Linked DNA regions of Mus musculus. The protein of the gene in region 1 purifies or fractionates together with the protein of each later gene. This does not show direct contact. Links are inferred from orthologs where the notes say so. Each region holds a gene or a part of one and is shown in the gene's direction. Other genes may lie near its edges.

The links. Proteins that work in one complex are often made in the same cells at the same time.
Region 2: the proteins of Ncbp2 (region 1) and Kpna3 purify together in Homo sapiens (co-immunoprecipitation; 3 studies listed by BioGRID and IntAct, with this or other methods). This does not show direct contact. The link is inferred for Mus musculus from reciprocal best matches to the Homo sapiens genes NCBP2 and KPNA3.

The regions. Positions count from the first base shown.
Region 1 is NC_000082.6:31,947,730-31,951,329, forward strand, and holds the start of Ncbp2 (nuclear cap-binding protein subunit 2), read left to right. Parts: upstream 1-816; 5' UTR 817-920; coding exon 921-998; intron 999-3,600. Other genes in the region: 0610012G03Rik (hypothetical protein LOC106264), read right to left, coding at 432-719. UniProt on the Homo sapiens protein: Component of the cap-binding complex (CBC), which binds co-transcriptionally to the 5' cap of pre-mRNAs and is involved in various processes such as pre-mRNA splicing, translation regulation, nonsense-mediated mRNA decay, RNA-mediated gene silencing (RNAi) by microRNAs (miRNAs) and mRNA export.
Region 2 is NC_000080.6:61,391,282-61,395,009, reverse strand, and holds part of Kpna3 (importin subunit alpha-4), read left to right. Parts: intron 1-3,164; coding exon 3,165-3,254; intron 3,255-3,432; coding exon 3,433-3,462; intron 3,463-3,558; coding exon 3,559-3,611; intron 3,612-3,728. UniProt on the Homo sapiens protein: Functions in nuclear protein import as an adapter protein for nuclear receptor KPNB1. Binds specifically and directly to substrates containing either a simple or bipartite NLS motif.

The DNA.
Region 1 (3,600 bases):
CATTCCTCCTTGTCTGAGAAATACCACATTCAGACTATTAATCAGCTTACACATTTAATGAAGGATTTTGGCAACCTCGGGGTTGTCGTTCCATTTACAAGCTCCCCTGGTATTCTCCTGCACCAGTGCAGATGCAGCAGCAGGAATTCAGCTTCAGTCCTGCTTGCAGACGGCAGGCTTGCTTTCTGATTGTCCATGACTCTCAGTCGTGCTGTTATGGTCTAGATTCTCTATCACTGGTGGGCCTCGAGGTCTTTACGTCTGCAGGACTACCGGGCACATGTCCATTTGACTTTAGGCATCTGTAGGACAATCCGAGTTAGGATTCGAAGCAGCGTAGCGTCCTGGAGATGACTCGTGACTGCTGAGGTCGGTGTAGATCACTGAAGGGACGGGTACGTGACCTCGGCCCGGGAGGGTCCAGTCCGTGCTTACGCTTTGGCGCCCGGACCCTTCTGCTGCCCTGGACGGTCCCGGACGCCACGGCGGAGTTCCTCGGTGAAAGTGTCCTTGAACCTCACGACGCGGCGACGCAGGGCACCGGGCGGCTGATCCGCGAGGGCGCGCAGGCGGCGGGCTGCATCGTGGCCGCGCAGCTGTAGCTGTAGCAGCGCGAAGGCTGTGAGCTGCGCCGCCCGCCGGATGGGCCGCGACTCGGACAGCCGCTCCACCAGCTGCGGGTTGTGCAGCAGGGCCGCCAGCAGCCGCCGGAAGACCATGGCTCTCCCCGCGCCACGGAACCCGACGCTCGCTGCCTTCGCCTTCCGGACGGCCACGCCCGACGACGGACTAGCCGGCGCTGTATGATGACGACACGGCTCGCCCCGTGGTTCTGGAGCACGCCGCCCGCATTTCCGTTTCCGCCGCCCGCCGCTTGGTTCTCCCGGCCGTGGCCGTGTCGGGTTTGGTGTTTCTGCATCATGTCGGGTGGCTTACTGAAGGCGCTGCGCAGCGACTCCTACGTGGAACTCAGCGAGTACCGGGACCAGCACTTTCGGGTGAGGCGGGCCAGGCCGGACCGGGCCACGAGATGGGGAGCCTTTGGGCTCTAAGAAACGGAGAAACGGTTTACACTTGTCTTACTATGTCTTCCCTCCTGATCTCCTGGGGCCCAAAATGCGAAGGGGTTCCGAGCGGGGCATGAATGTCACCGAAGCCACTTTATCTCCCAGGGCATCTAACACTTTATTTCACAGGTCCTTGCAGCACCCGGGGAGATGTGGCGGTGGCCCCTGTTTGATGGGCTTGTCTTGCTTGGGAAAGGGACTGTAATGAGGAGGGATCCCTGTGGCGACTGACCAGACACTAGAGCGGGTTTTGTTTTTAGTAAGCTAAACACTGCCCTTTGGTACTTCGTTCCTTTCTGCTGTAAGACAGCCCTACAAAAAGTTGGCAGTAAGTGGGAGACTTAGAGTTGGGTTCCCGTTTGTGGCTGTCTGACGGGCATCGGGACAAGTCACACGAGTCGCCTTAAGATTGTTTGGATGACAAAATCTAGTACAGCCAGTGGCTGAAGAGAAGCTCTGTCTCGAAAAACAAACAAACAGAAACAAAAAGAAATTTAGCCTAATTTTAAAATGTTTGCTGTGTGTCTGCTAAGAGTTTCACGTCTACAGTTCTCATTGCTTTGAACAGGTCCACATCAAAACTAACCAGTTTGAATTTAAAGCACACTGAAAGATTAAAACTAGGGGAGGAGTCATTCATTTGCTGTCAAAAGCCTGTAACTCGGGGCTGGAGAGATGACTCAGTGGTTAAGAGCACTGTCTGCTTTTCCAGAGGTCCCGAGTTCAGTTCCCAGCAACCACATGGTGGCTCACAACCATCTGTAATGGGACCTGATGCCCTCTTCTGGTGTGTCTGACGACAGCTACAATGTACTCATATACATAGAAAGCCCGTAATTCTCTTCAGATAGTAATAGTTTGTGTCATGTGCATTTTCTAGTGTATTCTAAATGCAGTGTGTCAGTGCATTGTTAAGTGTGAAATTAAGTTACAGTGAAGTTATCGACTCTGCGTTTTACAGAGTTGCAGTACAAACTGCACCTGATAGCCAAGTGTGGTGCTGGACATCTGTAGTCCTAGTAGAAATATCGTAAGGTTGAGATCAGCCTGCACAGGTAAAAAGCAGATGTTTCCTCTAAAGTTCTAAAACCTTGTTTTTGTTTGTTTTTAACACAGTGTCTGTTGGTCCATAGACTTCACCTGTTCAGTCCTGTAACAGTCTTAAGACAGTGTGGCAGTGGGAATAAGACCAGAGGTTTTTAAAATTTTTATTTTATTATAATGTTGTTGTTGTTTGAGACAAGGTTTTACTATATTGCCTTGGCTGACCTGGAACTCACCATGTAAAACAGGCTGGCTTTGAACTGACCAGAGGTCCACCTGCTTCTGCTGGGATTAAAGGAGTGCACTGTTGCGGCCACCAGCAGCTCGCAACATGAACGGTTCGACTGATATGGCTACTCAAGCTGTAAGAGAGGAATCTAGACGGCCGCAACAGTGCACCACCATGCTTAGCTCGATACTGAGTTTGAATTCTGGCTGAAGCTACTATATAGTGTTTCATCCTAGGAGACTCAATTGTTTTTCCTCATGTGTAAAATGGGAATGATATATCAGGGCCTACCTCATAACATTCCTTAGAATGAAATAAAACTCTCAGATCTGCAGTCCTTTGAGCTTCCCCAGGGGCAGACAGAAATACTATTTTCTTGTGTATAGCTGCATGTTCTTGGTTTTTAAAACTGTAACTTGGAGCGCTAGAGAGCTGGCTCAGAAGTTAGCACAGGCTGTTCTGCAGGACTTGGAGCCAATTCCCAGCACCCAGATGATGTCTCGAAACATCTATAACTCCAGTGCCAGGAGATTTGATACCCTATTCTGGTTTCCGAAAGCACTGGGCTGGCACATGGTGCACAGACATGCAGGGTGCGGGCAAAACACCCATACACATAAAATACTAAACTCAAACCAAAAAAACTGTAACTTGGGAGATGGGTGTGATGGCCCATGCCTGTTATCAAGGCATTTGAGGGAGATGGTAGTAAGACTATCAGGAATTTGAAAGCAGCTTGGACTATGTGGTCCTGTCTCAAAACAAAAACAAAAAACCCAAAACCCAGAACAGAACAGTTGGGCTGAGTAGACATAGCTCAGTAGGTAGAATGCTTGCCTTGCATGTGTGAAACCCTTGGGTGGATCTTGAGCTGTACATAAACCCAGAGTGGTGGCGAACGCCTGTAACCCCAGTACTTGGAAGGTAGAGGTAGGAGGATCAGAAGTTCGATGTCACCCTTGGTTAACATAGCAGGTTCAGTGCAACCAAAGCTACATGAAATCCTGTCTCAAAAATCAGAGGCTGGAGAGATGGCTCAAGTACTACTCTACCAGAGGACCCCCGTTCAGTTCCTAGCGAATTGGGTATCTTACAACCAGTTTCAAGGATCCTGATACCTCTGGCCACCAAGGGCTTACTACATTCTGGTGTGCACCGCCCCCCCCCCCCCCCACACACACACAAAGAGAAATGAACTAACTTAAAAAATAAAACCACAGAGCTGGGGATATGGTTCAGTGGTTAAGTCCACATGCTACT
Region 2 (3,728 bases), on another chromosome or scaffold:
GCTCCTCTGCCAAGGCAGGCAGGTCACACCGCTCCACCTCTGCTCAGCACAGACTGTACTGCTGCAAGTGTGGAAACAGGGAGGGAGATCTTGTTTAACCACCTACACGTAGTGAGATAGATGGCAGGGTAGGTGTGGAGTACCCATGCTGAGTTCTAAAAACAAATTAATCAGGAGCGAAAAACTATTGTAATTTCTTTTTCCTTTTTTTGCAAGATAAAAGTAGTATTGTAGGTGAGTACTAGCAGCCATTCAAAGAAGCAAATAATTCCAGTTTGTTAAATGATTTCAGATGTAAGAAAAGAAGACACACTTCCCAGTTCCTTATGAAACAAGAAAAAAAAAACACCATCAGAGCATCAAATGATGCTTGTCATCCAGTTCCACTTGGGGAAAGAGAAGAACATTTTAAATAAAATCTTAATAAACTGAGTCCAATAATACATAATTTAGAAAAATTTTGGAATGTTTGTCCTTGAATTAAAAGGGTAGTTTAATGTTGAAAAATGGGTTATTTCATCCCCATTTGCAGAGGAAAGTGGGAAGTTGATAAAAGAGGAACATAATTTGGTAAAACTAAATATTCTCTCATGAATGAAAGGAAACCTAACAAGTTAGATATAGAAAGGTTCTTTCTGCTCTGTATGGTGGCATGTGCTTTTATCCTGGCACTCTGAAGGCAGAGGCAGCCACATCTCCTTGAGTTTGGGGCCAGTCTGGTATGCATAGCAAGTTAAACAGACCTATTGGGGGGTCTACTTACTCTACCTAGTGAGACACTGTCTCTCAAAATAAAATATCAGAAATGATCTTCCAAACTAGACAAGAGCATACTTAGCTGTATAACACATGGCTGTAGATAATGTCCAAGTACTGACCTAAGAGTGGGGAATGTATGTCTATACCTGGAAGAGCAGGAGTAATGGATAAGATTCCTGAAAGGCTTTGGAAGCGTAACTTTTCAGGTGCTAAGAAGCTGGACTAAACCAGCATGAAAATAGAAGGGATCAAGGTTAAAATAGTTTGGGGAAGAGGTATTATCTTAAGGTTTCTAACCACATGACTGAAACAGCCTGAGAGAAAGAGTTTATTTCATCTTCTAGCTTGCGTAGTCAATTATCTAGGGAAGTCATTAGGAACTGAAATGGAGGCCATAGAAGAGTGTTGCTTACTTACTGGTGTGTACCTTGTGGCTTGCTATCCTGCTTCCTTACAGTACCTGAGACCACCAACCCATGGGTAACATTTCTAGTGTTACCTAGACCCTCTGAAATTAACCATTAATCAAGACAGTGCCCCATAGTCTTGTCTCTAGACAAATCTCACGGAGGTATTTTCTTAACTGAGAGTTCCTGTAGTTTGTATCAAGTTGACAAAAAACTAGCTGGGGTTATAGTTGTACTGAAAGTTGATTTGTTTAAAGTTTTAAATGGAATAAGTTGTTAGCTTTTTGGAAACAATCTCAGATTTGTAGTTTGAAAGTTAAAGTTCAAAGAATAATACAAAACCACTGTGTATATCCTTGTGGCACCTAGTTTCTTTGGATTGTTAGCATTTTCGATATTTGCTTTATTTTCTTTTTAATTTATATGTTAACTCACAGTCATTTTCCTTTATGCCAGCTCTAGTAGGGTTTCCTATTGCCTTTAGTATATCAACTCATATTTCATAAAAAAGAGACTTATGTAATAGCACACTTACAAGATTAATGAGGATTATGTCTAATCAGTAGAGTCAACTTGTAATTTGCAAAGTCTAAGTCAAAAAGAGCCCATCCAAGATAGGTCCTGCATTTTTTTATGGTACTCTTTTTCAGTCTTTCTCATCATTAGTGACTGTATCTTTGAAGCATACAGGCTTTTTTTTTTTTTTTTTTTTTTTAAACCCTCGAAATGATAGATTAGGGTTAGTCTGATTTTTAGTAAGCAGTGCCAAAGGGATAGGGAGCACACAGTTAATTTGTCCTTTATTAATGGTAGTATATTTTGTCAGTTGGCCAGGAATGCCATCTGAAGGCTACATGTATGGCTTAGTGGTAGAGTGTTTGCCTAGCATTTGCAAAGCCCCAGGTTCAGTCCCTGGTAACCATCTCATAACAAAACAAAAATCAGACAGTGCCATCTACCATTTTTTTGTCACTGTATGTTAGCATGTGAGCATGTATTCTGTGTGAGGCCACTTGGGATTTATAAATATCAGTGGTGTTGCCATCTATGAAATATTGTAGTTTAATATATAACTAGGGTTGGTGATTTGTGTAGTTACTAAGAAAGAATGATGTTATAAAAGTGGGAATGTGCTAATGACTATATAAATGTCATTGTGTTTAAATGTGCTGGCTTATACACAGAATAAAAGTTGATGGTATGCACATGTGTGTGCAGTTTTCATTTTTTTAAATCCTAATTTTGCCATGAATATTGAGGCCTCTTTTAATAACTGCTATAATCAAATACATTCACAAATATTGGGCCACAAAATTACATTCAAATTTTAAGTTGAAAGGTTACTTGCTTTTAAATAATAATTTAAATAGCATAGTTAGCATTCTGAACAATTTGAGTGTCATAAAATGGAAGATGGGATGAATTCTTGTTTGTGAAATTCATGTACCAAGAGTTTAATCTGGGCTGGCAAGATGGTCAGGTAGTAAGCATACTTGCAGCTACTGGAGCACAAGTCTGACTATCTGGATCTCGTAATTGGAGAAGAGAGCCAAATTCCCAAAGTTTTTCTCTGACCTCTTCCATCTATGCAGTGTGCCTCATGCCCCTAATAGTAAAGATGCTGATGATAGTAGTAGTAGAAGAAGATAAATAAAAGTTTAGTCTGAAATGGTGCTAATTTAAGTGACATTTAATATATTTTTACTCCTCATACCCTCAACTTGGAGTGAGGCATTGCTATGTGTCCTTAAGCTGTTCTTATTGTCTTCTTAATAACTTCAGGCAGCTATTAGCAGTAGGTAGGTAGAAACTGCTTTACTGTACCCCAGGTAAACCCTTATAGTGTTGGTCAGGACAGGTGGTACTTAGTGAACTGGGGGTGGGATGACACAAAAGCAGTGGGGCTAAACCAGGCCATTGTTCATTTTGGCACCAAAGGCAGCTTCATTTTAACAACAGCCTTCATGAGTTCTTAAGCTTTCATTGATTGTCTTTCAGAACAAAAGAGACGAACACTTACTGAAAAAGAGAAATGTTCCCCAAGAAGAAAGCTTAGAAGATTCAGATGTTGATGCTGATTTTAAAGCAGTAAGTTGCCTGTGTGTTTATAATGTACCTCTAAATATTTTTGTTATAAAAAGGGGAGCATTAGTTTAAATTTAAGAAAAAAAAGATAATAGTGATAACAAGGCATGTTAAATCATTACCTGATAGACTAATAGTTTTGTTAATATTCTCTGCTGAACTATCTTTCTTTCTTTTTAAGCAAAATGTAACACTAGAAGCTATATTACAGGTATGTTATTAATTTAATACTGTCATTCTGAAATGTTTTGAAATAGTTTCTTTTTTTCTTCTTTTAAATGTCTGAAATATACACTTGTTGTTGCAGAATGCCACAAGTGATAATCCTGTAGTCCAGTTGAGTGCTGTGCAGGCAGCAAGGTAAGAGAAAGCTGCACCTCCCTGGGATGGCACAGCTTGCTGCGCGGAAGTGGGTAGTGTGCTTTGTTTACGGTCATAGTCTGGGAGACATAGCGATTAATTTCTTTTCTTTTCTTT